Struthio camelus: one gene and its partner. The protein of the gene in region 1 purifies or fractionates together with the protein of each later gene. This does not show direct contact. Links are inferred from orthologs where the notes say so. Each region holds a gene or a part of one and is shown in the gene's direction. Other genes may lie near its edges.

What was found.
Region 2: the proteins of CSK (region 1) and TNS3 purify together in Homo sapiens (affinity purification with mass spectrometry; 4 studies listed by BioGRID and IntAct, with this or other methods). This does not show direct contact. The link is inferred for Struthio camelus from reciprocal best matches to the Homo sapiens genes CSK and TNS3.

What each region holds. Positions count from the first base shown.
Region 1 is NC_090953.1:23,418,298-23,433,215, reverse strand, and holds the start of CSK (tyrosine-protein kinase CSK), read left to right. Parts: upstream 1-8,349; 5' UTR 8,350-8,364; coding exon 8,365-8,421; intron 8,422-8,728; exon of another isoform or gene 8,729-8,743; coding exon of another isoform or gene 8,744-8,788; intron 8,789-9,682; exon of another isoform or gene 9,683-9,734; intron 9,735-10,940; exon of another isoform or gene 10,941-11,084; intron 11,085-12,224; exon of another isoform or gene 12,225-12,352; intron 12,353-14,918. UniProt on the Homo sapiens protein: Non-receptor tyrosine-protein kinase that plays an important role in the regulation of cell growth, differentiation, migration and immune response.
Region 2 is NC_090943.1:64,494,005-64,508,131, reverse strand, and holds the start of TNS3 (tensin-3), read left to right. Parts: upstream 1-7,161; 5' UTR 7,162-7,189; coding exon 7,190-7,279; intron 7,280-14,127. UniProt on the Homo sapiens protein: May act as a protein phosphatase and/or a lipid phosphatase. Involved in the dissociation of the integrin-tensin-actin complex. EGF activates TNS4 and down-regulates TNS3 which results in capping the tail of ITGB1.

The sequences.
Region 1 (14,918 bases):
ATACTGATGTAGCCACTTCAAGTGGGCTGAAAGAGGCAGGGTGCCTTGGATCTGGGGTCACCATTTTGTTATGAAACGTTGAAAAGATACAACCTCAGGCCCACTTGAATTCATTTAACCAGCTGGAGTCACCTCGTCCAGTGCCACATGGGCTTCGTCTTCACCATTCAATGTCACAATCCCGATACTGCAGGAAAAATAAAGGTGAGAACAGGAAGGTCCAGGCCATGGTTTGAGAGACAGGTCTAAGCTTTGACATATTCCAGCCGCCCTTCAGGGGCCTTGGAGGAAACGTAGAAGGATGGTTTAGCGCAACCCATGACATCCGTTAGCTGAAAAACATTGCCTCTACCTTTGCAGGGACCTAGTCATGAAGCCCCTCGACGCCACAGGGGCCATGCTAAAGCCAGCATTCAGCTATAACATAGAGAGGCTGGGATCATCCTGGAGACAGGTTTAGGTCTCAGTCCTTAACTCACTGATTCAAAAGAGAGCCAGGACTGCCAGGCAGCCGGTGGCAGCATGTCACACCATCCCCAGGTAGTGGAGAGGTTCTCATGGACTTGGCCCAGCAGCCCTGTAGAAAGATGCTTTCCCTCCAGCTGCAGCCCTCCCTGAAGCCGTTAGGTGAACATGCGATGTTGATTCTGGTGTAGGACCAGAGGCCCCGTTTGCTGGCGCCGTTGCGTGACTTTGCTGCCCTAAATTCTGGCTGGGTTTGCTGATAAGGCCTGCAATAAGCAAGCGCAGATATAAAGAAAGAGCAGTGGGAAATTTTTTTCCCACTGGGTGTTTTATAGCGCCAGGGCAGATAAGCAGATTAATATTAACGTTGTTGAGGTGAAACAGCCCCTTGTCAGTGCAAGGCCTCCCTGAGGTGCACTTATCAAGGGCTGGTGGCCTCCTCGGGGTCACTGCTGCCAATCTGCGTGGGGCAGAGCCTGCAGACCCAGAGGCCAGAGAGCTGGGATGAAAAGTCGCCCCCATTTCAAGATGGGGAAGGGGAAGAGAAAGGGCTCGAGGGGAGAGAAATGGGCAGACTTACTGGGCCTCCCCATCCAGGTGCCTTTCCTCAAGTAGTCCTTCTCTTCCTGCTGTGAGAGGGGAAACACCCCACTTCTTTAAACCTCAGTCTTCATTTTGCGTCTCTCCCTCCCTTTGATGGCAGTCGGAGCCATCCCATGCGGTTTTGGGGAGCTGGAGCCTTCGCTACCAGCCTCCGAGGCACACGGGGAGCCATGCTGAGCCCCGGCCCCTGCAGAGAACAGCAGCCCGTCTGCTGCGGCCTCGGTCTGCGCTCGTGCCTGGAGCAGAGCCGCTGTGGAAGTCTGGTCTTGCATGCACATGTCGTCTTGGGTATCCTGGTCCCTTCAAAAGCCTGGTGACTGCAGGTAAGGTCCCAGTTTTCTTGCTGGGACCCTTCAATCCCAGCTACTCTGAGGCTAACAGAGGCCGTTTGTCTTCCCCCGCTGCCTTCTGCTCCTCTCTTGTTTGCCTCTACCACCTGGGCACGGGAGCACTGTGGCTGCAAGAGCAGAGCTCAGCCCAGCACCCCAACAACAGGTCCTGCCCGTTCCTAGACAATACGGTTGGGGAAGCAAAGCTGAGCTGGCTCCTTTGCCAGCCATTTTCTCAGCCATGTACCTCGGCAGGCTCCCCGGCACGCGGGGGCTCTCCGTGCTGCACACTTGGGTGCTGTCACTTGCAGACCGGGTGACTCCAGGCATGCAGCCAGGCCTGCGGGGTACGGAGGATGATGCAGGGCACAGACCCCGCAGCCCTGGGCTGGAGGAGAGCAGCGAGCACAGGCCAGGCATCAAGGGAGGGTGTCCCAAGCTCTGCACTGCTCTTTGCTCTGCGATAGCTCTGGAGCAGAGCAGTGTCAGGAGACCCCAGCCCTGAGGGCTCTTCTGCGAGGAAGGAGCAAGGATCTCTGGTTCCTTCTGCGGTGCCCTCTCCCTGGGCAGATCTTAACTCTTTGCCTCTTCCTCTTCCCCGCAGCCTCCGGAGAAACAAATCCATCAGTTTGTCTCATGAAAGCCCACATTGCTTGCAATAGATAAGGGACTCTTGCTCCCCTATCTCTGCCTTTTCCCTAGTGATCTTCCTCAGTTAAATCCTCCAGTCTCTAATCCCCAGCTTGACTGCAAGTGCTGTGATTTCTTTACCGGAATTGGCATGGTGATAAGCTAGGGGAGATTTTATCACGCCACAGCCAATTGCTTTTATTGTTGGCTTTAAAATGAACTGGCCAATTAGGCCATCACAGCTTGGCTCTACATCCTCTTACAAAGGTGGTGATGCTCACGGGTCCCTCATTCCAGCAGGGCAATATCCAGGCAGCCACATACCTTCTTTCTCAAGCACTTCCGCAGTTTTGGCAGAAAGGACCCGGCCGGCACCTCCTGGCGTTGAACGGCGTCTGCGAGCCAGGGGAGGTGGGCGCTGAGAAGGAGCCGCTCATTTTAAAAACTGGCTGGGGATAGAAACTCGCCAGCCTTCAAGCTGCTAAACAACTGCAGAGCAGTGAAGAAGCTCCCTGCAGGGCTGGGTGTCTGCAGGGTCAGCAGATGTGTTAGGCACTTGCAAGTCCTACTCTAAAGGGGTCCCAAGAAAGAAAAAAAGAGGACTCAGAGCTCTTGTTTCTCTTTTCGAGAGCATCCCGGTCATACCTGGAAAGTGAATCAGAGCCTGACCTTTAAACCGTGGCCTCCTTGCATCCATGCCACGGAGAGTAAACCTGTAGGCTGGGAGAGGCTGTAGAGGACCCTAAGGCATGTGGTGGGGAAGTTTTGATCTTGATTGTCCCTTTGCATGGGCTGAGACACGTTCCTCCCCGCAGTAGCCACAGTTCTGCACCTCCTTCTGTAGCTCGTCTGTCCTTGGGATGATGCACTGGCCTTGGGGGTCCTTCCCAGGAGGGCTCCAGTGTCCCCCGAGAGCCACAGCATCACCCCCAGCTGTGGTTTTAATCACCTGAGCACATGAGATACCCCCCGAGGAAGGGGGCTACAGTGACCACAGCCCATGGTGCGAGGCTGCCCCAGCGCCCGGCAGCAGCCCAGGCCAACCTGCTCCTCCCACGAGGCCACACGCTGGTCACCAAGCCCCGATACAGCCCTTTGCCTGGCAGGATCTGGCCCATTCCTCAGAGGGAATGGGAAATGAGCTTCCTGGGAAATGTTGTAGAGAGGGATCGATTTTCTGCAAATTTCCCCTCCCCCTTCTGGTTCTGGGTTTTTTTTTCACTCGGGGATTTTCAGTGGTTGTTTTTCCTCCCTTTTCCTCCACTGATTTCGAGCAAGCACCTGGGAAGGAAGTCGCCAAGCCGGGCAACGGGACAAAGGCTGATCACAGCACCTTGGTGGCCAAAGCCTGCAACGTCAGGCACGCTGCCCGCGGGCTCGAGTAGCTGGGGTGGCCAGCCGCGCCGGCAGCGCACCCCGCGCGAGAGGGGGATAGCTTGGGTGTTGGACTGCCTCGCCGTGCCGCGAGCGTCTTCCCTCTCTCCCCACCGAAGCCAAAGGCGGCTCACAGGATCCCGCGTGCCCGAGCTCACCCCTTTCCCCCAGTCTGCACCCTCCAGAGGTGCTTCGTGCGCAGCAGCTTATGGCCTGCCTCGCTCCATGCCTCAGTTTCCCCCGTAAAGGGGAGGCAGCAAGGCTTCCCCCACCAGTCTGGTCTTGCTTCACTTAAGTCTTTGGCAACATGTTCTTTTTGCGGCTGACCCCTCTTCCAGCAGGAGGGATGCCGGGACCCGTGAACATGGGTGGGAGCGTTGCGTGGGGGTCCTTCCTCGAGATGGCAGGACAGGCAGAGGTCTCAGACACTGTCCAGAACTGTCTCCCCACGTCTTGTGAGAGATCCAAGAGCCCATGGAGACCTCCTTCGCACCCAGAGCCGGGAATTCGGGCCGGTGGGCATCTCCTCGCCAGGAAACCCCACACTATAACTCCTGGGCTCAGCCGGGACCCAGGCTAGAGGAGCCACCTGCAGAACAGTCCTTCCTCCCTGGATGCCAACTTTTGGCATTCCCACCACCTCCCCAGGGGGGTTGCTCCAACATTTAACGACCCGCCTGGTTAAAAGCACATCCTGTGTTTCTAACCTAGCTCCATCATCCTGATGTTGGCTCCCTCTTCCATTTTGCTGTCTGTTTATCCCCCCCTCCCCAGATCTGCTATCAGATATCATCTGCCCTCCGGGATTAACCCTTGGATGCCTGTAAAAACTACCAAAAGCTGCACGTTTCTGCCAAGGAAAAGAAAAAAAAGAAATTGAGTTCAGTCTCCCAAGTGCTGTTGGAGATACAGCTGAAACCTATCTGGGGCCTTCAACAGGTTTCCTTGGTGCGGAAGGGGGTGTCACCTGCTTTCTGTGTCGCCCCCCCCTTAGCCGCTTATCCTGATCCAGACTGATGCTGCGACGCTCCTCCTGGGCTCCCATGCAAAGTGCTCCCTCCTCCCTCGGGCCACCGATAAAACCGCAGGGTCTCACCTGGCTGGTGGGGCCCTGCAGCACCTAAAGGGGTGTTCACGCGGTGCCCCCGTGGCGGTGAGCGCGGCAGGGGTCAGCGACGCTTTCGGGCACGCCAGCGAGATCCCAAGGAGGACTGCTCCGGCACGGAGCAGTCTCTGGGTGCCGGAGCCGCTGCAGCCTCCCCAGGGCAGTTTCTCTCGGAGCAGGGTTGGAGCAGGCGCCTGGTCCTCAGCGCTGCCCAGGCTGGACCCACAGACAGGGGAGAGCTCGAGCCGGCCGAGTTGAGCCCGCTAAAGCTGCGAGGGCCTCAGCCCAGAGCCCCAGGCCCACATACTCCAGCGCTGGGGAAGCAGGATTCGGATGCAAGCTGGCATCTCCGTTCCCCACATCATCCCCGCTGGATTTGGTGCCCACTGCTCTGTCCCCCGGGTACCACCCGGGTACCACTGCCCGCCCACACCCCTCGCATCCCCAAGCACTTTGGCTTGGATCTCATCCCCCCATTATTCCTCACGCTTGGCAGGAATTACTAATTCTTGAGAGCTCCCAACTCAGTCCTGAGCTATCCTCCTCCCATCCCTCCTCCCTCTTCCCTCTGGAAAGGAGAGGGTGTTTTGGCTAATTGATTGCGCCAAGTCATTAGAGGCACAATTAAGCACCATGTTCCTCAGAAAACATGAAAGCAAGCAAGGATGGAGTTTGGCCCCAGGTTAAGACGGGAAGAAAGAGATGGCAAGATAGCCGCTCCCCGCACGCAAGGGGCTGTCTGAGGAGAGCTCTGGGCTCCTGGGAACTGCCCCGAAACCTGCCTTTCCTCTGGCTGCCTGGCACTGCGAGCCGGCCCCCTCCCGCCCGCGCCCCACGCAGCCATGCATGCACGCATCCGTGGACGACGGAGGCAGCGGGGAGCAGCCCGGGGGGACGCCTGCACCGCCAGGAGCGCGGGCGTCCCCGCAGAGCCTGGTCCAGCGAGCAGAGGCAGCGCGAGCCAAAAAGCCCTGGGATGGGTGCAGGGAACAACGCTCTGCCCTGCAGCGTGCCCCGCATCGGGCACGGGCCAAAAACGGGCAGCACGGGGGCAGCGAAGAGGTAATTTGGGACACACATGAAATCAGAGCCCAGATTTTACTAGCAAACGAAGAGGGCCGGGTACCGATCTCTCCGGTGCTGGAGGGACGCGGGCAGAGCGCAGTCTGGCCCGATCGCCCTCAGGAGAAGAGCGACGTGCCGAGAGGCAATATCCCCACTTGCTCCCCTCCCTGCTTTAATTAAAATCGTCCTCAAAATGACGGCTCCGCTGGCGAGGCTTCGAAACGAGGCTGCCCTCGGCACCGGAGAGGGCTCCGGGGCCGGCACGGCGAGAGCCGCGAGGCGGACGCCGGTTCCCAAGTCCCTTGGGCGCTTCTGGAGCATCTGCGTCCCCGTCTCTCGTGTTCGTGACGCGAACGCCCTCCCGCGGCATCAGCTCGCAGGTGAATTCCCCAGGGTCCAGGAAGCTGGGATCCTTCACTCGGGCTTTCCCTAGGAAGTTCATGCCCATGAGTGTGGATTCTCAGCTGTCTAGTACAGCCAATACAGCAACCTTCTCGTCTGCGGGGCTCTCCTGTCTCTGGATACCGGCTCTTGCCCAAGCTGCACTGTCCGAAAGCCCTGGAGGCACAAGCGCCACTGCCAGCCAGGGCTAAAACCAGCCAGGAGATCCAGAGACGAGACAGATCCGCAGGATCGGTGACTGCCCACGCTTCGCTCCTTTAGGAAACCTGGCTTCAGGTCTATCCCCTGTTTTAGACGCTTAAGCACTCCCCAAAGCGTCCAGCGCTTGGCTGCCAGCACGCGGTCGCTGAGATGCCACCCCACGCCGAGCTGGTCTGGCACCGGCGCGTTCCCCGGAGGGGCCTGGGCGAACCTGCCGGGCCGTTTGCGTAAAACCAGCCTTCGCAGCGCCCGCAGGCTGCCACGTGCTGCTCCTCTCGCACCAGGTCTCATCGGGGAGACGGGGCAGAGGACTCTGGCTCTTGCATCCCTTCCTCCAGGACAAAGGCAAAGCCTTCAGCATCACTTTCCTGCCGGCCCGCATCCCGGATCGCTACGGCGGGTGACTCACCGTGGACGGGTGCCCAGGGTCCCTCCTGGCCTGGCGTGGGAATATTACACGGTCAGGATTTTATTCTCAGGACGGGAATCGCTGCTGCAGGGACGAAGGAGGTGTTTACGGGCCAAAAGAAGCAAGATCCAGGGGGTTACGGACGAGGTGCCTCGGGGCAAGCTGTGGGTGAGATACTGCTTGTCTTCCTGGTGGCACCGGGAACATCGGTTGGGGAAGGGTCAGAAGCCCCCCTTGGCCCCCAGCCCACTCCCGCTGGGCCGGACGAGGGAGCTCAGGACCACTGATCTGGCCTGCGCAAGCCAGATCTGCCACATCCCAGCAGAGCGCAGCGTCTCCCGGGCCTCGTCCCTCCTTCTCGTCCTCCTTTCCCCGGAAGCGCGGCCGAGAGCAGCCCTGCGCCTCCTCGCCATCCTGCCGACTCAGCTCCGCCAAAAGCCTGGCCTTGGCTCTCTGCCCTGCGAGGAAGTTCGGCTCCTCCTCGGCTGGACCCCCAGCGACAACAGGCGCTGCTGCGCAGTTTTTCCTTTCTTTACTTTCCCTTTTCCTGCAGGCTGATTCCCACCAGCTGAAGGGCCCCCTCTCCTGGTGCAAAGCAAGGAGGTGGCTGCCCACGTCTTCTCCAAATCCAGCCCTCCAAACAGGGTGGCTCCGACGCAGCGGCCCAGGCCAGGCCGTGGCACGGGCAGGGACCCTTTCCCAGACTATTGAAGGTGGGGTCCCGAGCTGTGTCCCGAGCATCGTTCCCCTCACCCTTCCTTTGCACTGTGGCATTTCTACTGTCCCCGTAGTCCCGCTTTCTCCACCTTCCCCTCTAAACTTGGCCGTACGTCCTCCCTTTCCTTCCGTCCTTCCAGCAGCCCCAGCATTCATGGCTTGCAGTCGCTGGGACCGGTGACTTCACCCAGCTTAAAGCAAATCTGGCCTTTCCCCAGCCGGATCAGTTTTGAACCCACTCAGGTCCTGGGACCTCCTGCCAGGTAGGAGATCAACACTTCCAGCAGGAACGGAAATCAGCCCAACACGGCAGTCCGACAGCACACTGGGGAGTTGCACGACGTAGCCCGGGGCACAAGGGTCTGTGTGCTTGGGCAGCCGCAGGTCTCCTCTGAACCCCGGTGGGGCCGCTGGGCTGCTCACCTCGGCCCAAGAGCCGTCTTCCAAGGACCTCTGGACACGCGAGGTTGTTGGCCGTCGCGCAATAAGCCAGGAGGTGCAGCAGAGCCCACGAGCGAACGAGACAAACCCAAAGAGGAGGAGGCTGTTTGTGTCCATTCACCATCAAGGAGGAGAGAAGGAAAGGGAGAAGGACACAGCAGGGGCTGCTGATCACCATCCTAAAACCAGCACGGCAGGACAACGCGGTCGTGGGGCTATTTCTCCAGGCCTCCTTCTAGGTCTGACGGATTGCAAAAGCCTGGAGCCACCTGCACAGTTCCCCACCGGGCCGGGTTCACATTTTGTGTTTTCCTTCAGGAGCCAAGGTCCCAAAGTCCCAGTGCTGCTTCCCAGAAGAGAGGCAGGGCCCGGGAGAAGGGATGCCCCGAGCCGGCAGGCCGCGTGCGGGGCTGTGCCCGGAAAGGTGCTTCTGCACAGCAGTTACTATTGCAAGAGAAATCTGCCCCCCAAAACTCCTTGCAGCCCCCACACAAGGGAAAATCCCGAGCCTCATCCCCATTCTCCCTGCCCGCCCCCTCCAGACCGGGCCAGCCTGGGCACCTAGGCAAAGCATTTTTCCCCGATGAGCGAGTGGTGATGCTGCGGCTCTGCGTGCACCGCGGATGTGTGCGCGCATCCGGACGCCTGCGTGCGCACACGGGCACGCACCTCTCGGGCAGGTACGTCCGCGCAGGTGCCCGCGTTGGGCTGCGTTTGCCAGTGCGTGAGGGCGCGGAGGGGTGCTGGCGCGCGCACGCTCGGCCCTGCGTTTATGGGCACGCAAGCTTGGGTGGGTGCATTTCTATGGGTGCGTGCGTGGGTTTGTGTCTGCATCTGTGGGTGCATTTCTGGTGCAAACAGATGCACGAGCTGGTTTCACTTCCTCCCAGGGCTGCTCCGCTTGGTAGCTGCGTGAGGCCGAGCGGGGAAGCAAGCCGACCTGCTGCTGGCGGGGCCTTCCCTGCCCCTCTCCGGGGGGTGCATCCTGCGAACCACGGGGCGATGCGCCAGCTCCTCGCACGGGGCTCAGGGCCTGGCGGGAGTCAGGTCTGCACGACCGGCACGGGCTCACCCGACACCCGGCGAAACCGGGTCGCAGGCTCTTTCCCGCACACCGTGCACAGGAAAGCGCCCTCCAGAAGTGAACGGGGCTTTACAATCCGCTCCCTGGGTACCGGCATCTCCAGCCTCCCTGTTGCCTTTCCTCCCGCATCCCTGCGGTCCCCTCGCCCCCTTCGCGGGACGTCTCCATCGCTTTGTTATCTCTTTTCTTTCTTCCTTCTCTGCTTGCTCTGCTCGCGCTCATCCTCACCGCCGGGCCAGGCAGGAGAGACCGTCCGATGGACGGGGAGGTCGCGTGCGAGCGGCAGGGAGATATCCCCCCCCGGCAGCCGCGCAGGGCCGGGCCGCGGGGCTGTTTTCGGAGCGGCGCTCAGCCCCTATCTCAGCGGAGAGGGGCGGAGGCGAGGGCGGGCAGGGTCCCTGCACCCCCTGCCTAACAGCCCCGGGGCGAAGCGGGGAGGAGAGCGCTCCGTGCAGGGAAGTCCAAGGCCACCCCTTCCCGCACAATGGCATTATTCAGAGCGGCTGGCGCGGGTCCTGCCGGGCTGGCAGGGCAGGCGGGCCCCGGGGGCCGCTCGGGGCGGCAGGCGCCGGGAAGCGTCCCCCAGGCCGAGCGGCGAGCAGGGAGCCGCGCCGGTTTGTAAAGCGATTGGATGGCAACTGGCGAAGCACGCTTGCAGCCCGCTGACTTGCGGTCGCCAGCGTCGGGGCGGGACGATCCCGAAGCAAGGAAAGAAACGAGAGCAAGCAAAAAACCGAAGAGAGGCGCGCGCCGGCGCTTCCTGCTTTGCCCTACATGGCCGCGGCGTTTTGCGATACGAGGCAGGAAGTGACAAGCGCTTTTTCTTTCTAATTGAGCCTGCGAGGCATGATTTAGTCTGCGAACGCCTCGTCGCTGGATGGGGCGCTTTGGCCGGAGGGAGGGACGGCGGTAAACGAGCCTCGTGGGAGAAGCGCCGGGAGAGCCGTGGCCTGGCGGGGCGCAGCATTGCCTCCCGGCTGCGGAGGAAAGCGCCGCACCGCGAGGCTCCCGCCGCCCGCCTAGGGCTGCCCGCTGCGCCGAGCCCTGCCCGTCCCCCAGGGACCCCCGTCTCCTGTCACCGCCGGCAGCTTCTCAGGGCCAAGCCAAAAGGGAGTCGGGCTTTTTAAGCCTGTTTTCCAGGGTCTTTGCAGCTCCCACCTGCAGCTGCTGCCTGGAGGCGCCGGCCTAATTTTGGCACGGTTCTCGCGATTTGGAGTCTGGCGCGTGGAGCGGGATGATGGGCCTGCTCCCCCCACCCTCACCCACCGCGCAGCCAGGCCGGGCGTCCGCAGCGTTTCGCGGCCTCCTCCCCGAGACGCGCCGCCCGTGCCCCGTCCCCTCCAAAGGCAGCGAGCGGCCTGAGCCGGGGTCCAGCCGCGTTTGACCCCGGGCGACCCTGCAGACAGGCTGTGCGGCGGGTGCCAGGGCCGGGGAGCTGCAGCGAGCCGCGCGCGCTGGGGCGCGCTGGGGGTGCCGGGTTCGGGCTGGTGGGCACCCGCTCGGCGTTTGCGAAATCAGCGCAGGCCACTTGCAGAGCTAGAGCGCGGCTGGAGCCAGTAAGTGACGAGGCGCGCACGGCCCGTGCAAGGAGGGAAACGGCAGGGAAGTGCCCAGGAGACGCTACGGAGCCGCCCGGAGCCGGTCAGGAAGCCCAAGCAGCGTCGTGCGCTGCCGGGAAGGGCGGCGTGTGCGCGGGCCCGGCCGCCCCCTCACCCCCCCCCCGCCGCCGCGCTCCGCGGCTCCGCTCGTGGCCCGGCAGGTGGCGCGGCCGCGCTGCCCGGGCGGCGGCGGCGGCGGCGGCGGCGGGCGGCGGGCGGCGGGCGGCGGGCGGCGGGCGGCGGCGGGGTCGGGCCGTGGCGGCGCGGCGCAGGCGCGCTGCTCCGGGCGCACCGATTCCGGGCGTCGCTTCCTGGCAGCAGGCCCCGCCGGCCCCGGCAGCGCCGCCCCGGGCCGAGCCCGCGCCCCTCGGCCCCGCGGCAGCGGCCGCGCCGCCGCCCGCCCGGCAGCGCCGCAGCGCAGCGCAGCGCAGCGGACGTTTCGCGGCGCCGCGTCGGGCAGCGGAACCCCGGGGCGGCGGCGGCCGCTTTGTTTCCTCCTCCCCTTCCGCCGCCGCCGCCGCCGCCGCCGGCCCAGCCGAGCCCGGAGGCCCCGCCGGCGCCGCATGGAGTACGCGGCGGCGGGCTGAGCGCCGCTGCCCTGCCCTCGCCCCCTGCCCGCCGCGCCGCGGCGGCGGCGGCCGCGCACCGGAGCCCGCCGGAGGTGAGTGCTCGGCCGGCGGGGACCGGCCCGGCCCCGGCTCCCCTCCCCCTTCCCCAACCTTCCGCCGTTCATCCGTGCGCTGAGCGCGTCGGGCCGCCGCCGGGCCCGCCCTGCCCTGCCGCCCGCCGGGGGCGCGGCCGCCGCGGGGCAGCGGCGGGGAGCGGGGGGCAGAGCCGGTGCGGCGGCGCCGGAGCCGTCGGGGCCGCTGCGGCGCGGCGGCCGCGGGCGGCGGCGAGGCCAAGGGGCGCCCGGCGAGCCCGGTCCTCGGCCGCCCGACGGCGCCGCTCCCGCTCGCCCGCCGCCCCCTCGACGGGGCTTGGGGGGGCCGTCGGGGCGCCCCGCTGCTGCTCCCGCGCCCTCGGACGGCGCCGGGCTCTCGGTGGCCCTGCGCCCGGCGGGTTCGCGTCGACCGGGCCGCCCCGTCCGGCGCGGCCGCTCGACGCCTGGGCCGACACGCGGGGCCGCGCCGCCGCGTTGGGTTAGCGGCTCGGCGGGGCGCGCTCCGCCGGCGGGGTTCCCCCCCCCCGGCTTCCCTCCCCGGCGTGGGAAGCGAGAGAAACACAGCCGGGGTGGTGGGGGGGAGAGGGAGCGGGATGCAGCCGCCGCGCGGGGTCTGGCCGCGCTTTTTGTCGATACCGCCCCGACGGCTATTAATAGGAACGGCTGTTGCTCGCAGGTCTAGCGAGAACGAAGAGGGGCCGGGTCCTCGTGCCAAAAAACAAACGGGGAGGTGGGGGGGGGGGAAGAGCCCCCGCAGGCCGGGCGGCGGTGGGTGAGGTGTGACGGCGGCAGGGCACCGCCACTGGAACGGCGTCGGCCGGCGCGGAGGCCCGGGAAGGCCGTGGGCCGACGCGAGGAGACCGGACGACATAGGGGGTCGGGGTGGGGGGGGGAAACGCGCCGCTCCGGCGCGCTAAAAGCACGTGAATTTTGTGGGAAGTGGGTGAGAACGAGCAGGAAAAGCCTCCCCCCCCCACCCGGCCGCGTCGGCGAGGCCTCGAGCAGCATCTCGAGCGCCTTCGGGGCCTCCACCTGCCTCCGAGTATCCCCCAGGCGCGTTTTGTGGTTTGACAGCAACATCTTCTCTCTTTTTTTTTTTTTTTTTTCTCTTTTTTTTAAAGAAGGAGCAGCAAAACCCTTTTCCTCTCTCAGGGCCGACGCAGGCAGCTGAAGGGGGCAGGAGGAGAGGAGCAGCCCAACGGTCTCTGAGAACGAGCAGAGCCGACTCGCTGATGAGATAAAAGAGAAACGTTTTTCTTTCGATTAGGGTAATTGTAGGTGTTACTCATAATAACCGTTGATAAGATCTCGTGGAGAGGGTGAGGACGTCGTCGGCTGTTTTTTTGGGTTGCGTTTTTTTTTTTTTGTGTGTGTGTTGTTGTTGTTTTTTTCTTGTTTCCGAAGTTTAAAGAAACTTCGAGTAGACCGCTGGGAGAAGACTTGAAGCGCCGGCTAGGCAGGCCGCGGGCGAGCAGGCTGGACGTGCGCGGAGCCCGCGCGCGTTTTTCCTGCGGGAATGACCCTTTCTTAACCGCGGAAGCTAAAGCCGCCTGTGAAACGGAGGCGCCCGTCGGCGAGCCGAAGGGCTCCGGGAGCCGGGAGGGCCGCGGGAAAGGCGCCGCGCGCCGCCGGCCGGGGGCTGACGCCGAGGCGACGTCCCCTCCGTATCCGGGACCGAAGCGGGAAGAGGAGCACGGCTGTCCCCTCGGCCGGGGCGAGACGTTTGGAGGCCTGCTGAGGTGGAGTCCGCGGCGCGGGGCGGCAGCCGCCGGCTCCAGCCGTCGTGGGGTGCAGCGGCTGGAAAGGGACGGAGAGGCAAGAGAGAGAAGCAAACAGTGCGGGGGGGGGGGGGTTCGCCGCCTCCTTAAAACAACCTGCGATAACACCCGGAAAGGGGCATGCCTGCCCCGGCGCCGGCGAGCGCGGTCCCGTCCTTGCCCCCGCCGGCGGTTGACATCCAGCATCTCTAGGGAGCGGTGCGGGACGTGACGGCTCTGGCTGCAGCCCTTTCCCTCGGGCCTCCTCCGAACTTGCTCATCGGGCTTGAAATGCACGTGCGGCATCTTCCCTCCTGCCCTTGCCCGCCGCCGGCCCCCTCCGAGGCACCGCAGCCGGCGAGGGGTTTCTTTTCGGCCGTCCCCGGCGGGAGATGCGGGAGAGCTGGGGGGAGCCGGCAAAGCCCAGCTCCTCTTAACGCGATGAAGGACGCTCCTGGCCTCTGCTCCGCTCTGCTGAGCTTGGATAGGTTTTTTTTTTTCTTTTTCTTCATCTTCCTCCGCTTTCCCCCACCCCGGCGTCTCCGGCCCCCCGCTCCCTCCCATCCCGCAGACGGGCTCGGGGAAGGAGCAGGGGGGAGCGTGTCGCGCCGTTCGGGGAGCTTCGCCTGCGGGAGCGCTGGGCCCCCGGATGGATGGACGGACGGACGTGTCTGCCCCGGTGCAGCCTGCGGCGTGGGTCCGGAGCTTCCCGCCGGGCGCCGCTCGCGCCTGGCCGCGGTTCGCGGGTGGTTTCGCGCCGGTGGTCCGGCCGCATCCTGCCACCGGCTCGGAGAGGAGCCGTCGGCCCGCGGCGGGGGCGGACGGGGCGGCTGGGACCCCGCCGCCGCTCGGGGGAGGTTGCGCTGGCGCTGCGCAAGCTCTGGGGCGGGCAGCAGAGGAAAGCCGTGATTTTGGCAGCCCGGCTGAAGCTGCTGTGGGATTGCTCCGTTTTTCAGGGTGCTCTGGGCCCCCAAAGGGGATCGCTGGAAGGGGTGCGAGCCCCCCAGCTCGGGCCGCCGGGGCGAGAGCGGTCTGCCTTGGGGGGCTCGCGAGCATCCAGAGCTGGGTGCCACGCTCCCACGTGGCTGCGGATAACGTCCGGGCCTTTATCCGGCGCCTTCCCGTTTTTCTTGCGGCTGTTTTTCCCTGGGAAGGTCCCTGCCGACCGGAGACGCCGCTGGAGTCCTCCTGCTTCCCACTCCCGAATCGCATCCCGTGGAAGCCCCCGGCGCCTCGGCCGCGGTCGGGAGCCGGCGCGGGAGGACGCCCGCTCCCGTGCCCGGGCTGCCGGCTTTCGGATGCAAAGGTCGGCAGGTAGCAGGGGAAAACGCGGGGCCGGGCAGCGCCGAGGCTTGGCAGGGCCGCCGGCCCCGCGCCCCTCTGCCGCCGCTGGGGCTGGGAGCGAGAGCCCGCGCGGAGGTCTAAGAAGAGCAAAGCCCGAGCGCGTCGAGGGATTTGGTGCAAACCTGGCGCTTAACTTTGCCCAACTGGTCGAGCTGCTCCGCGGCTCTTGTTTTCTTCTTTTCCCCGAGCCGATCTGTGCCGGCGCGTGGCCCGACGCGACGTCCCTCCCGTCAGCCGACCCCGCCGCGGAGCTGCCGAGCTGGCCGCCCCGGTGAGCGCTTCGCCCCGAGAGCCGCGTGCGTCGACTCGCAGCCCGCAGCTGGCAGCGCATCGCTTGCGCGTAGCGATGCCACCTTCCGACCCCGGCCGTTTCCACCATCCGGGAAAGCTGAAAACGTTCGCGTTTGGCCCGAGCGCGTTGCCCTGGCAGCTTGAATTTGCTGGGACGCCTTCCGCTTTGGAAAGAAGGGTTTTTTCCCAGGCTCGAAAGCCCGGAGATGGGCTCTCCGGTTGGCGTCCTCTGGGCGCTACCGTTGAAAGCCCGGCAAGTTCGGGCTTGGAGACGTCCGGCTCCCGTGCGCCGAGGGAAAAGAGCGGATGAGAACGGCAGCCCGCCGTGGACGCCGTCGCCCGCGGCACCGGCACGCGCGCCGGGACGAGGCCGGGTCCTCGGGGCCGGTGCGTGGGACAGGGCGGCTTGAACCAGGGCCAAGCGATGCCCTGCTGCCGGCGG
Region 2 (14,127 bases), on another chromosome or scaffold:
GCAAGCAAATTTAGAAACTATGGATAGCCTGCATGAAGTAGAAAAGTTGTTCTCCACATAGCCTGCTTGGTTAGGCATATACTTGCAGCATATGAAAAAGCCTAAGGGTTCTGCTGGTTCAGAGTCTCCAATAATGACTTACTTATGTCAAATGTAAATAAATATATCCTAAAAATTGTGGTGGAATAGTTGGGAAGTAGATAACTGAAGAAAAAGTTGGCATTGCACGTCTGGTAGTGGCGATTAAACGCCCTGGGCTGCAATTATGCAGTCAGATCCGTTCTGTGATTTTTGCAGTACGAGTATTATGGGGTATGTGTTTGTATGACTTTGAATCATATCCCAATTATTTTTTCCAATTTTCCTGCAAAACTTGTTCACTTACATATTAACAGCACTAGGAACGTCTGAAAGTTGAAACCAGTGAAATACATGGACTGCTTTCAACTCAGCCCGTCCATCTTTAACCTAGCCTGCTACAGTCTCTCCTAAAACGCCCTTATGTCAACTGCCTTTGAGTTTTTGTCTCTGCAGTGAAAGTTTTTGACCTTGCACTTGGCAGACGAGGTCTGGGTCTGGGAGAGTTCAGGAGCACAGGGATTATAGGAACAGACAATACAGCCACATTGGGTGGCACAACTCAGAGGGACTTAGATGCAAATCTACAAGGACAGAAAAAGACAAGAGGAAAAATGGAGAGAGGCGAAAGTTTTATTCCTTGAGCCAGAGTATGTGCATTCACATCGTAACAATTAATTTTCATAGGTATAGTGTTGTCAGTGTGTGAGTGTCTGGCTTGGGACCCCATAGCCAGCTGAGCAAGGTTGTGAGGGTGCACGCTGTGGTCAGGATGGAGCGGGCGCTCTTCCCTCCGCCTCTCCATCCAGGGAAGTGAAAGACAGAGGTCTCAACTTGGCAGCAAGGCAGGATTCACTTGTAGACAGTGCAGTGCAGAGTGGGCAAAGCCCTTCCTGGCCTCTTGAGCTGTTACTCTGGAGAGGTGATCCGTGGCAAGAGAGAGCAACACCAACAGCCTTGCTGCTATAGTCTGGAGTGACTGAAATTCAGCAGGGCAATGGCGACTCGCAAAGGTTAAGGTTGCAGCCTTGGCAGTTAATCAGACTCCATTGTTTGTGGCTTTTCTGCTGCCCACATCAAGCAGCCTGCCTGACAGTTTTGCAAAAAGAGACACGTGAGTACATACATAAATTCAATTACCATGACTGCTTACACTGGAGCTTACTTCAAGAGCAGCATCGCATACGCTTAGGAGCGAGTGCTGGCAGTTTGGGGCCTATAGACTAATGCACACACTCCACATACTCTTTGTCCATAGAGAGCTACTTTTGTTTTACTTTTGAGATATCACTTTTCTTTCCTTCTTCCTCTTGTGTATTTATTCTTGTGCAAGGACTGAATTAGTGGTTAGCTGCTCTGGATCCACGTGTCTTATCACCCACTCATCGACAGCCCATGGGAGACCATAAACGCTAAACACCCGAGAGTAAAACCAAACATTTTTCTTTATAAATATCAGGATAAACATGTCAACCACAGGACTTTCTTTTTCCTTTGGTGTAAACAAGCAAACATCTTTGGAAAGGTTTTTTTTTTTGTTTTTGGATGGAGTGGGGAGAAAGGCTTGCAAGGGTGTCGTCTTGCATGAAGTATATTGGGTTTGGTGCGTGAGCAGCTTCTGTAAAGTGTACCCAGTTCTGCTGCTGCAGGGCAGTTCTTTGCGTGCCATTTTTTTTCTGAAAGCAGCCTGCAGAGCCCTGACAAGTTTGGCAGTGAGCAATGCAGGCCTGGCGGAGATGGAGCCGGAGTCACCTGCCTGCTCCTGGTATGCCGAAAGCCCCAGAAGGTTCGCGCGGAGGGGCCAGCAAACAGTTCAAACGCGCTATCGTTGGGCAAATGAAAACATTACAGCAGCTGAGGACCATTTCCTGGTATTTCACTGCTGTTTCTTAGCAAGAAGAGGGGGGGAAAGAAAAGGGTCTGGAAAATATTAAATTGGCCCCAGAGGGCATATTAGAAAAAATCTGGAATTTTGCAGACATTAACTGTCTGTTGCACGGCTGTGTGTTTTTGTTGGAAATCCAGCAGAGTTATGTAACATGTTTGGGCTTCTTAAACTTTTATTTCTTTTTCAAAATTTTAAGGTACCACCAGAGCTTTTGGCTCATATTTTCACCATTTTAACAAAGTAAGCTTTAAGTGTTTGCTCTTTCTTCTGATGAATAGCTAAGCTGATTTAAGAACAAACACAAAACCTAAACAATCCTCATTCAGATCTGGATTTATGCAGAGGTTCGCCTTTCTCTTTTTGATGTGTGACTCTCACTGTAAAGTGGCTTTTGACAGCGGGCGATACTGTTAGTTTATATACTTTCAGGGTGAGGCTGTCTTTGGGGTAGGAGAATTATTGAGTGCAAAGCAGTAACAAGGACATAACTAGATGGGGAACAGTTTAAACGGTTTAGCAGATCCCCTTTTTCTTTCTAATCTTTCCAGGCGCATATATCATGATTATAAAACATGTCTTTTCATTTTGTTTCCCAGACATAGTGAGGTTAAGTTTGCCACATCTGTCTGTCCTTTCTCGACCTCCCACATTTTTGGCTTTGGGTAAAAGAGCGGTTCCCCCCCCCCCCCCCAAATGGGAGGGGAGGCTGGAAAAGGAGGTATTCCTGCAGCTGAATAGCAGAGTAGGAAAAATGACATCTTTTCTCAAGCCACTTAAAACTGGTCCTTTTGGGGGAAAGTTTTTTTGGTTAGGTTTTATTTTGGAGGCATCAGAAGTTAATGGAAGTGGTGGACAGAGAAAAGAGGATGGGTAAGATGTGTTTCTTTTTAACATGTGAAGTTGTCCAGTGCTTTCTATCAAAGCAATCCACAGGAATTAGTTTATTTGCATTTGCTGGTTGCAGTTCATGACCCAGGGTGGTCACAGGTCTTGGAAAAGTGGGAGATGCAGCTCTTTGTTCCTGATGGGAATTACTTTCATGCAGCTTTTTATAAACAAAACTCAGACCAGTTTGAAGAAGTGTCTCAATAACATTGTTGCTTATTAGAGGGATAGAGGAACTGGAGGAATTCTGACAAGGTAAAGTGGCTATGTCTGTCTTGAGGGACTTGAGGTTTCCAGGCCCTAACGCACACTTCAGCCCTCTCAGGATGAGATTCAGGCTTGTTTCATCCCACCTCCCCATACGTGGAAGGGGATACGTTGGCACAGAGGCTGGAAGGGAGCCATACTGTACTCAGATCAGGAACCTGATTAGAACAGCCAGGGCATCGGTCACCCCAGGGCTAAGCTCCATGCAGCTACGGGTATAAAACGTTGCTGGTACCAGAGTCAGCCTGTTTAAAGCATAACGACGTTTGTTAAGATAAGCTAGTATTTAATGATTATTGTACTGAGTCTGGAATTCAGTCTGGAAATATTAAACCTGATAAAACCTAATTTCCCCTCGACTCTGCATGTTCACATTCCTGCTCAGGAAAAAGGGGGTTTTGGACAATGATTAACACCAGCACTGCTCCTGCATGGTTACCAGAGCTGTGGCTTGTGCCTTGCATCGGTGCCTGACGCTCTCAGGGACCTAGCACAGCTCAGCACATCTGAGATAGCATTTCTTCTGCTGTGGAGGAGAGCACCTTGTTTCTTCAGTCTGTAGAACTGGATGCTACTTCTAAACTCCTTACCGCAAAGCTGTACTGTTTGTGCAGACTTTGAAAAGTGCAAAGTGTTATGAAGAGTTCATTCTTTTTATTTTTACTTGACTCTTAAATTGTGCCATTTAAGGCACAATGCCTTACATGCAATGTGTTATTGTTCACGCGAAACACTGTTGGCTGAGCTCTGTTTGTTGAAAGCGCTCATAGACTGGTCTCTCCTATTTAATACTTACTGTGTATCTTTTGTATACTTATTTTGATCTCTCCTACTTAATACTCTCAGTCCAGGGAGAATGAGAGGAGTATCATTTTTCTTCTAAAAAAAAAAAGTAATTTTCATCAAGTCTAAATAACGTCAATAATAAGAAACAGTCCCTTAACACATACTGCTTAGTTAATGGGAGACTTTTGGCAGTCAGGCACTGGAATAACAAAACTGTTCGGTACTGAGGAAAGCTATGTATTTGAAGCACAGAAGGCTGAGAATTGCAGAATGCTGACAATATATGCAAAATTTAGGAGCTGCTCCTGTTCCCACTGCACTAATGATAAAAATTCCCCGGGCTTTTGAATGAATTTGGATTAACTGCTGTGCAAATGATTTTTTCTCTGAAGATCCTCCAAGACAGAAGCAGTCATGAAGTAAATATCATTTTTGTGTTGCTCAGTAAAAATAATGGCACCAGAAGGAAAAGGTTCGTCTTGCCTGACTAATCCCTCTCCCACCAAATAACTGGCTATAATTTCATTAATGACTCCAGACCTGTGCATTTCCTGGAGAGTTAATGGTGGACTTCATGCTAATAACCCTCACTTTGCCTCAGGCCATGGTCATTATTCTCTAGGAAGTGACCTATGTCTCAGCAACGATTACTTAGTTAATGTGAATCCCGTACACATCAGTGCATTGTTTGTTCTTTCTTTCCCCAGACTCCTTGGTCCTCCTTAACCTCCCTCTGGTTTTGCTTGTGAGAAGGCTGAAACGTACCTTTTCTAACTGCTAGCAATGGTGGAGGAAGTAGGAGGGGGGACTGAGTAGTAAGGGGAACTCTAGAGTTCCTTCCATTCATATTTACTGAAATAATGATATGTCATTAATACTTGCGTGCCCTTCCTTTAAATAAAAACAGGTTTAGTATTTTCTTTGAAAAGACACCCTTTTCATTGCAGGTGCTGCACTGGATCAGGTTTGTGGTGATGAGTTCCCTGAATTCCTGATTATTGGACACTGAGAGCATTCAATATGTCAAGGATAGGCACACAGTCTTGTAGAGCCAAAATGCAATTCTCTTGTAATCATGAAACAAATAACCACCGAGTATTTTTGCATACAGGTGCCAGAGTTAATGAGTAACCCAGAGGGGAACAGAGAATTTGAGTCCCAAAATGCTCTCAGTTGCTCACGTTAAACTAAGTTGTACTAAAGCTCTGTGGTCTCTTTTGCAAGATTAGAAGACAAGCTGCCCAGCAGCACTGAAGAATCTGTCTGCTAAAGGAAGTGGTAGCACTAGTCAAGATAGACATAACTTTAATGTTATCTACCGGAAGCATGATCCGCTGTTCCCTTCTAATGCCCACAGAAGCTGGATGCTTGATTCTACTTTGCTTTTGAGCAAAAATTACTCCTCCTCCTCTTTTTTTTTTTCTTCCCCTAGGACAGGCAGCAGAGACAAGAAACCTTCACTTGAGTAGTTCAGCTTTGCAAACCATTTCACATATACCAGGCCATCTTCAGAAGTTGTCAGTAATTAAACTTAGAGTAAAAGCAGTAAAGGAATGGAAATGATAATTTAAATATGGTAAAGCAGTGAAAAATCCTTTCTCAAGGGGTCGATACTTCTGAAGTTATACCACTTAGCTTCTGCAGAGGGATTTCAAACCTATACATAGCCACTCCTACACTGTCAAACTACCAATACTGACTTCAGGTCTCTCCTCTTCCTATATAAGGTCTTTTATCTGTGGAGCAGTCAGCAAGCACCAGATGAAGTAACCCCACTGGGAGTGGATGAGCCAATACAACTGCTAGCTGGAGAGGTTGCTTTTGACTAGCTCATAGAAGTCACCTACGCACATACACATTCCTGTATTATAACTCCAATGGGTTTGAGAAGTTTCAAATATAGCTTGTTACTCACGATTTGCGACTTCTCAATGAAAAGCTTACATGACAACATCAGACCGTGGCATTACCTAAGAACAGCACTTGCTGTGGCAGTGACCCTTCCTCCCTTAATCTGTTCCTCGTCCTGCAAAAATAACATATTTGTGCATTCAGACTCTGTGAACAGTGTGTTGGAGTAATAGCAGCAGGGGGACGGGTAGATTTATGCAATGAAAAGAAGCTGTCAGCCTAGAAACCACCCCCATGTAGGCTACCGAGTGCATACCTGAATTGCCTGCTGCAACCAGAAAAGCCCTACCAGTGTTAGGACTGCTGGAGTTCACCACTTAAATTATTATGTATCCGAGGCTGCTTGCTCTAACGACACAACTCATTTTGTGAAGCAAAATGGCTTAAGTGTCTTTAAATAAAAGAGCGCCTGCTCTAATGGGAGCCAAGCACTGGGTCAGAGCACCTAAGTGATACAAATAACTAACAACACTGTTGAAAACAATTTAACTGTTTCTTCCTTTTTAGCTGTATGAAAGACAGGCTGTTTTGAACTAAATCCTAACATGCCAGGTGTTACCACCACGCAAACGTTTAGAAACGACTTCTGATCTCTCCTGCTGGCAGTGGAAGAACAAAACCCATCGGCCCAGTGCCTCCAAATCCATTTTAAGACGCTGCCGCCAGGCCATCGAAGTTCGGGTAACAAACTCCCACTGGCCCAGGCACCTTTTCACACGGCAGGCGGGAGGGAGGTCGCTCAGACGCCGCTGGAGCTTCTCCGGGCGCCCGAGAAGGGCGGATCGCCGCGTCCTCCTTGCTCGCGGCGCAGGGACCCGGGAACCGCGGCGAGGGGGTGCCCGCAGCCCCTGCGCAGCCGGCCGCGCTCTCCTGTCCCCTCCTGCCCGGTAGCAGCGCGCGGCGTTTCGCCGGCGGGGAAAATTAAGTCGCGTTAAAAAGCCAGAGGGAATTAAACTAACGCGCGCGGGCAGCCCGGCGGCGCGTAAGCGGCGGGAAATCCTCCCCCGCCGCCCCGGCCCGGCCCGACTTCGCCCCCCTCCTGAAACCCCGCTCCCAAAGCCGTCCTGGGGACGGACGTTAAGCAGGCACGGCGGGAGCCCGAGCTGCTCGTCTCAGCGAGGCGCCTCTCTGCCCTCCCCCCCCGCCACCCCCCCCGGCCAAAAAGCCGTGCGCGCAGCCGGCCAACGCCGCTGCTCCGCCAGTCCGGCGGCTCTATAGCACCCGCGGCGCCCGTCTGCTGCCACCGGCCCCGGTAGGCGCAGGGAGGCAGAGGCGGCCGGGCAAGGAGCTGCGCCATGGCGGGCCGCGGCGGCTGAGGGGCGGGCCGCCCGCCCGCTCGCCGGGGCTGGGGCCGGCGGCTGTCCCCGCCGCCCCATGGGCTGCCGGCTGAGCCTGGCGGGCCTGGGCCGGGCGCCGCCGCCGGATCGCCGCCGCTGCGTGGCGCGGGAGGAGGCCGAGATGCAGGTGTGTGTGGGGGGGGCGGGGGACGAGGGGAGGTGGCCGCCGCCGCCCCGTCCGCGGGGCCTCACAGCTGCCGAAACCTGGGAGGGGGGACGCAGGGGCACCGCTCCGCCGGGGAGCTGCCGGGCCCGGCGTGGCCGCGCTGCTGGGGGCGGCAGGCCAGCACCGCCCCGCCCCCCCAAAAAGACAGCACCCCAAACCCAAGAGTTTGGGGTTATGCCGGACCGCTTTTCCCCGCGCGTTGTGACCGCTGCTGGCGAGCTGCCGGCGGCGCAGGCTAAGCCCGCCGTGGTGGCTCCGTCCAGCAGCAGTCCTTTTCGTAAGGGGCTCGCGCCGGCTAGAGACCGTTAGCGTGACCGTTAGCGTGAGCGTTGGGCGCGTCCCTGCGCGGGAGGGGGGGGGGGCGCTGCGAGGCGGCAGGCGGCCTGGCAGAAAGTTTGTCACGGCTGCCCCAATCTGCCCTTTTTTTTCCTCCACGCCCCCCCCCCCCCAACCCACCCAACGTTATTGCCCTGCGGTCAGAAAACGCGCGTTGCTCTGAGGCGACGTAAGGATGAATCCCGGGGGGGGGGGGTCAGTCTGAGGGACGTGTATCAGCTTTTCAGGGGTAGGAAAGTCTGTCCAACTTCAAATACATTATTATTATGTCTTTTAAGCCTCTGTGATTTCAGTCACGGGCTCCCCTTGGCTTTATGACTCTGGTCAAAACGAGGGAAATTGCCCCAGTCGCAGCCTTGCAGGCACAAATGCAAACAGGAGCGCCCCAAATCCCGCTGGAGTGCTAGCCAAGAGTGCCCCAGCCCAGCGCGCGCCTTCCAGGGGCACGTCCAAGCATCCCTGGCTGGCTAGCCAAACCTCTGGACCTTTGAAGCCCCCACCTCCTTCTGGGTTACCTCTGAAAGCTCAGTTCAGCTGTGGATTTAAATTAACGCTTAATTTCAAGCATGTGTTTAAATGTTTTTGTCGCCTTGGGTCCTGTGCGCTGCAGTCATCCCCCCTCTCCTCTTGCGTGCTTAAATAAGCATCCTCTTTCATTTCAAATCCCTTCTGAAAACATACTATTTCTGTTGGAACCTTTCAAGATTAGTTTCCCAGAAATTCATGAATAATATACCCCACAAGGGGTAAACTGTGGAGACGTGCTGAAGAATCGTTACTGCTTTGGGGCTCCCTGTGGCCATCTCATGTGTGCCCTGTCTGTGAAACCATCTCCATCAGTCCTGTGTCTCTCATGTCAAACCCAAGTGGCTTCAGATATCCATTTTATTGTAGAAAGCTGCCAAGGGAATCTTGAGTGTGTGTTTCCCTGCCAGAATTGCTCTCCTTTGAGGTGTAAGGTGGCCAATGTTCTATCCTAGACAAGTGACTCATTTAAAGGGCTGAAATTTTGCCTGCTATCAGGATTAGAAAAAGGAACTTTATTCTGTTTGAAAGCAGATATCTCTCTAGTGATCTCTTGCCAAAGTGACGTGGATCAATATTAAACCTGAACAACATAATGGAGAATGAAGAGAAAAATTACTGTAACAATTTTTTTTTTGCAGAGATTGCTGAGTTATCAGTTTTTTGGTAGCTCCAGCACCATGAATAAATGATCATAAACTCTCCTCTCTTAAGAGGACAGCGAGAGGGGGGGAAAAAACAAGCACTGAGATAAGGAAAGCTGGTGCTTTCCTTAGCATCTGTGTATAGGGATATTTAATTCCCTGTGGGGAACACCCCTAAGCAGGGGTGTGTGTGTGTGTGTGTGTGTGTGTATGAAACAAATGAGCAGCAGGGACTGCTGGGGCTTCACCACCTTCAGGAGCTGATTAGATTTAAATGAAGTACCCAATTCTGTGAAAAGGATGGTCTGCATTCTTCTCTTATTTGCAGTAGTATAAATCAAGAGTTTCTTCTCTGAAGCCAATTATATTTCATCAGTTTAAAATTAGTGTGAGTGATAGGGGAAGCTGGGCCAGTAATTCTCAAAATATTGGTTATAAAATGAGTTTAAATGATGGAGTAGTCTACAAAGCTGGCATAGGCTCCAATTTGTGCTGCTATTATGGAACAGAAAACATGTGGGCAGGATGTATTAACATCAGTGGCTTTCTTTTACATCTGGAACATGAAAAAGCAGGCAACAAGCAACGGCTTAAAATATGAGCTTTCTATATTGTTGAATTCCTATTGATCTTTCTCTTCCAGCAGGAAGCTATATAATTATACAACAGGCCATCTGAATGTCTGCCACTATGTGGCTGAAATAATAGTAATATTAGACATTAACGTTCTGCCTCAGAATATGCCAAAAAGTCTTAGACCAAAGCTGAGGAGGAAAATAGCCTGAATTTGACTCTAGAAAAGTATTTTAAATAATGGATCTATTTTTGATTTTTTTTGTATTTTCTGAGGGTTTTTTTTTTTTGAAATTTTCTAATATATTTACACTAGGCATTTATTTTCTCTTGAAATTAATGGAATTAACCTAAAGTTGGCACTACTGACACAGGTTCAAGGTGACTTCTGAAACAGAGTGACTGTTGAATTCCCAGCTCGATCTGGACTGGACTCGGAGTAGAATGCAAGCACTGCCTTTGGCTCCGGTTTTGTAGGCAGCCTTTTCTGAGCAGATCCCCGTGTTACCTGAAGACTCATTGTCTTTGTGTACAGTATTGTTAGGGACCTCGATGAGGCCAGACTCCTTAGTGTTGCAGTTCTTGGGATAGTTTTTCTCCTTGGGAAGTGAGCGTTGGAGATGAGACTTGTCTGCATGTGGTTTCTGGTAATTTCACTTCAAGGACTGATGTTTGTAGAGCTAATGACAATTTATGATAAAAAGTACCTGTGTTTTGCATTGCTTATTTCTCTTGAAAAAGAAATAAGGTACACAGTTCTGCTATCTTATGTCAGCAAGAAAAAAGCAATAGTGGAAACGGAAGTATAGAGTAAAGCAACTTTTTCAGGGTGGTTCATCAAGTATATAAAAGACTTCAGGTTTCCTGATCCTCAGCATAGTTCTTTTCCATTGAAGTATGATGCTTTTTTTAAGTAATGAGTTGTCCCTTGTAAGTGGACAAGTCGGAGTGGATCTCCATGTTGCCTTCTTTATACAGTAGGTGTCCAAATTATATCTTAATATCCCTGATTCTGGGTGAAAGTGTGCAAACGTGAGGATGCTACTCTACTTCAGAGAGCAGTCAGCTTCCTGCAGGGAGAAGATGGACCATTAATATTCTGGCTTCCACCATTGATGACTTACTTGCACAGATGCAAAGAATAGGAAGAAAACTAGTTCTTCCCAGGAGGAAATATTTTTAATGGTTTTGGATTGACAACTAAGCACATAGCAGCATTGTGGGCACAAACTGCCCACAGGCTCAGAAGTCTTTAGCTTCATTTCCTTGTATTGTGTTATGCAGCAGAAAATTCAGGGTAGAACAACAAGAATCGTTAAGAATTTTTTTTTTTTTGCCGGTGTTATGTCTTCCGTGCATATTGCAGGTCATGATGGCGGCAACTCTAAAAGACAGCCAATGGGGGCATTATTAGTCAAAGCCTATTAAATCAGCTGATGGATCCAGTGGGCCAATAACCCTTTTGTTAATAAATGAGTTCTTTGATCTAGTTTGTACATTTTAAAACAAAGTGACATCATTATCATATGTAGATATGATATGATCATATGTAGATGGGAACTTAGCCTATGTATCTTGCTCCCCCTCTCTTACTTAAACAGTCACGTTAACTCCTGCAATGATGTCCCTGGTGCTGCCATTGTTTAGTACATATCTTAGGGAAAAGGAGGACAGCCTAATATGGACTAAGGAACATTAGGCAACTAGAATTTTTTCCAGGATCTGGTTCTTTAAATGCAAGTTTCCTATCCTCATATTTTTAATGACCAAGGAAAACAAAACAAGGGATTTTCAAAAACCTCAAGCACTTTTATTTAGTATAGCATTCAGGTTTCCGAGTGGCTTCAGACAGGTGAAATAATACATCAAAATGTAAAGGCTGTTAACTGGAAAGAGTTACCTCGTCACTTTATTATCCTGTCTTTGCCTTCTGTCTGTCTGACTGTTGTGATTTGTCCTGTGGCAAATATACTGGATACTTCTCATTCATTTTAGTCTAGTTTTGTGCTGGTTTATAGGAAGAGGGAAGTAATGTCTTCTAAAAAAAGAAATGCAGTTTCAAAACTTAACTAACAATTATTTCCTTAGAGGAAACAATAAGCAAAGAAGGAATTAACACACTTTCTCCCTCCAAAAGAATACTATGTGAACGTTAGAAAAGAAAAATCCTCAAATTGCTTGGTTACTGCCCTGAGCTGACATCCTGTCAGATGAACAACTTTCCCATGAAGCTTACAATGGAAAGCTATTTGTTTGGAGTTTGTGGGTTCCTTTGAGCATTGCTGTGGTTTTATAATTTCAGAATTGTTTCTCCCCTCAGATTACATATGCTAAATTGTATTCGCCCAAAAGAAAATTTGTAGGTGGTTCTATGGGGCTCTTACGTAAAGAGACAGGTTTCCCAGATCATAGATAGTCTCTTGTTATCCAGGAAACCAATAGAATAAAAGTATCAAAGAGAATAGTGAGGGGGGAAAATGTATGTGTTGAATATGTAAGTAGGTGCGATCTGCTTCAACTCTAGTTAGTTTAAAGAAAGGGAGGTAAAATGCTTTCAATCGCCCTGGCATTTCATAAAGCTGCTACTTTGCATGGGTTCAGATAATAATACATGTCATATGATCACTGATGGGCTTGCGTAACTATGCAAAGCAATGATTAAATTATCGTCATTGTTATTCAAATATGCCCATTCTTTTAGGGGATGTGGAATGAGATCCATGCTCCTTTTCCCATTTCTCTTTCTTTCTAGCTGGTCCTTCCTCCTTTCCTCGGGGCTGACATGGCTCCCATGGCCATGTCAAGCAGACATGTCAAGCTCCCGTGGCCATGTCAAGCAGGAGCAGAGAGCGCTCCTGCTGATTTTAATAAATGCTTAAGTGGCACTGGTGCCCTAACGGCGCTCTCTTATCTCTCATGAAAATGTAAAATGTTAGCAGCGTTTCCCTTCCCTTCCTCCTTCTCTTTCTTCTACTCATTACATACGAGATTAAGGAAGTATCTCTGCCGAGTCTGCCGTGATTGAATGTGTACTAGCTCACGCAACATAGTTCTTAATTGAACAAAGCACTTTTGAATATTGTTTAACATTAAGTGATTTCTTAAGCCTGTTCCTATTCAGTAAAATATTTAAGTGCTCATGCGCTCTTGACATCAGCAGAACCTGAAAATAAATATTAAACATGATGAAATATTTGGCTGAATTAAAGCTTAGGCTGGTGACCCATGGATGGTGCTGGTCATGATAACTCTTCCCCCCACTTGAAGAAAACCATACTAATACTCTTCCTTATGCCTTCTTATATTTTCCTCCCAGGAGATAATGTCTTTGTGTTTCCTTTTGCTTCGCTGGCTCCTCTCACATGTCCTTGCAAAAACAGCTTTCTCACCTGCTGTCCTCTTTTTCCCCCTAATTTGGCTGTCTAGATTCCATGATGCTTAGGTATGAAATTGTATCTGCGATGTGTCCTGCCTGGTATAAATTTCCACATGTTTAACCCTGATATTTCATGTTCTAACAACTGAGAAATAGGTAATAATTCTTTACTTGACTCTGGTATTTCTTAGACGTCTTTTTGTTTGTTTTGTTGCTTCCAGTGGTAGGACTTTCCATATTAAGTTTTCCATCAATTCCTTTTGCTTATCTTCCTCGTTCAGAAATGTTTTTCTTGGTCTCAGTTTGCCAAGGCAACAAATGATTGGAGTGATTGGCTCGATACTGTTTAAAGTGACATTGGTTTAGCCATCAGATGCTTGGAAAACCAGGTCCCAACTTCAGATGTCTTAAGTACTCCAAGATGAATTGCTAGTTGTTTATGTATAACGTTGATCCTGGTTTATATATCTGCAGTTGCTGAATTAGGATCAGATTCTGCATCTCTTACAGCGACAAAACTTACAATGCAAAGTCAAGCTCTTTGCAGCTCTGCTGTTAGCACTGTAAGAGACAACAGGTACAACATAAAACACGTAAGTAAGGTTAAGAATCCTGATTCAGCCTCATACAAACTCTTAGCTGATAATGACTGCTCAAAGTTTCCAGGCATGCAGAGATAATTCTTACCCGGGAAATGATTTATACAGGATATAAGGCTCTGGGACCAGTTAAAATTCAGATACCCTACAGAGAATTGGACTTAGATTTCAGGGTTTTTTTTCCCCCCACCTCTCGCGTGGGGCAGTTGTTCACAGGATCCTTCATGTTAGCTGCCTTATGTATGGGCTGGGTGGAAGAGGCGTATGTGGGGAGCACCGTGGAACGAAAGGGGGATTTAAGTTTGAAGCCAGCTGAAAGCGTGCAGGAAGCTCTGTAAGCTGTTACGCTGCGCTCCCTTTCTTTGTTTATGTGAGTTCTCACCATCTAGGTTTGACTGTTAGAAAGGCTATGGTACATAGTACTTCACAAGTACTATGTACAAGAGAGTAGAAGGGCAAGAGAGTCCCAACGGCTGGATGTTGAAGCTGCCTTCATGTTGTGAATTCATTGTGTGTGACCTGGCACTTTCTCCGATTGATCGCTTTTAGGAAAAACCTTTTCCTGCCCTATGGCCAAAAAAACCCCAAATGTGAAATGACTTTCTCTCAAAATGGATGAAGAGAAGATAGCAATGCACTAACTTCTTGTTTCTTTTCTCCTTCCAGCCTGTCCTCTTTTCAGTACAAAAAAAGCCAGGATAAACAGGATAAACTTTCCAGCTAGACAAAATTTTACATTCCGGTTGTGTTTGCTTG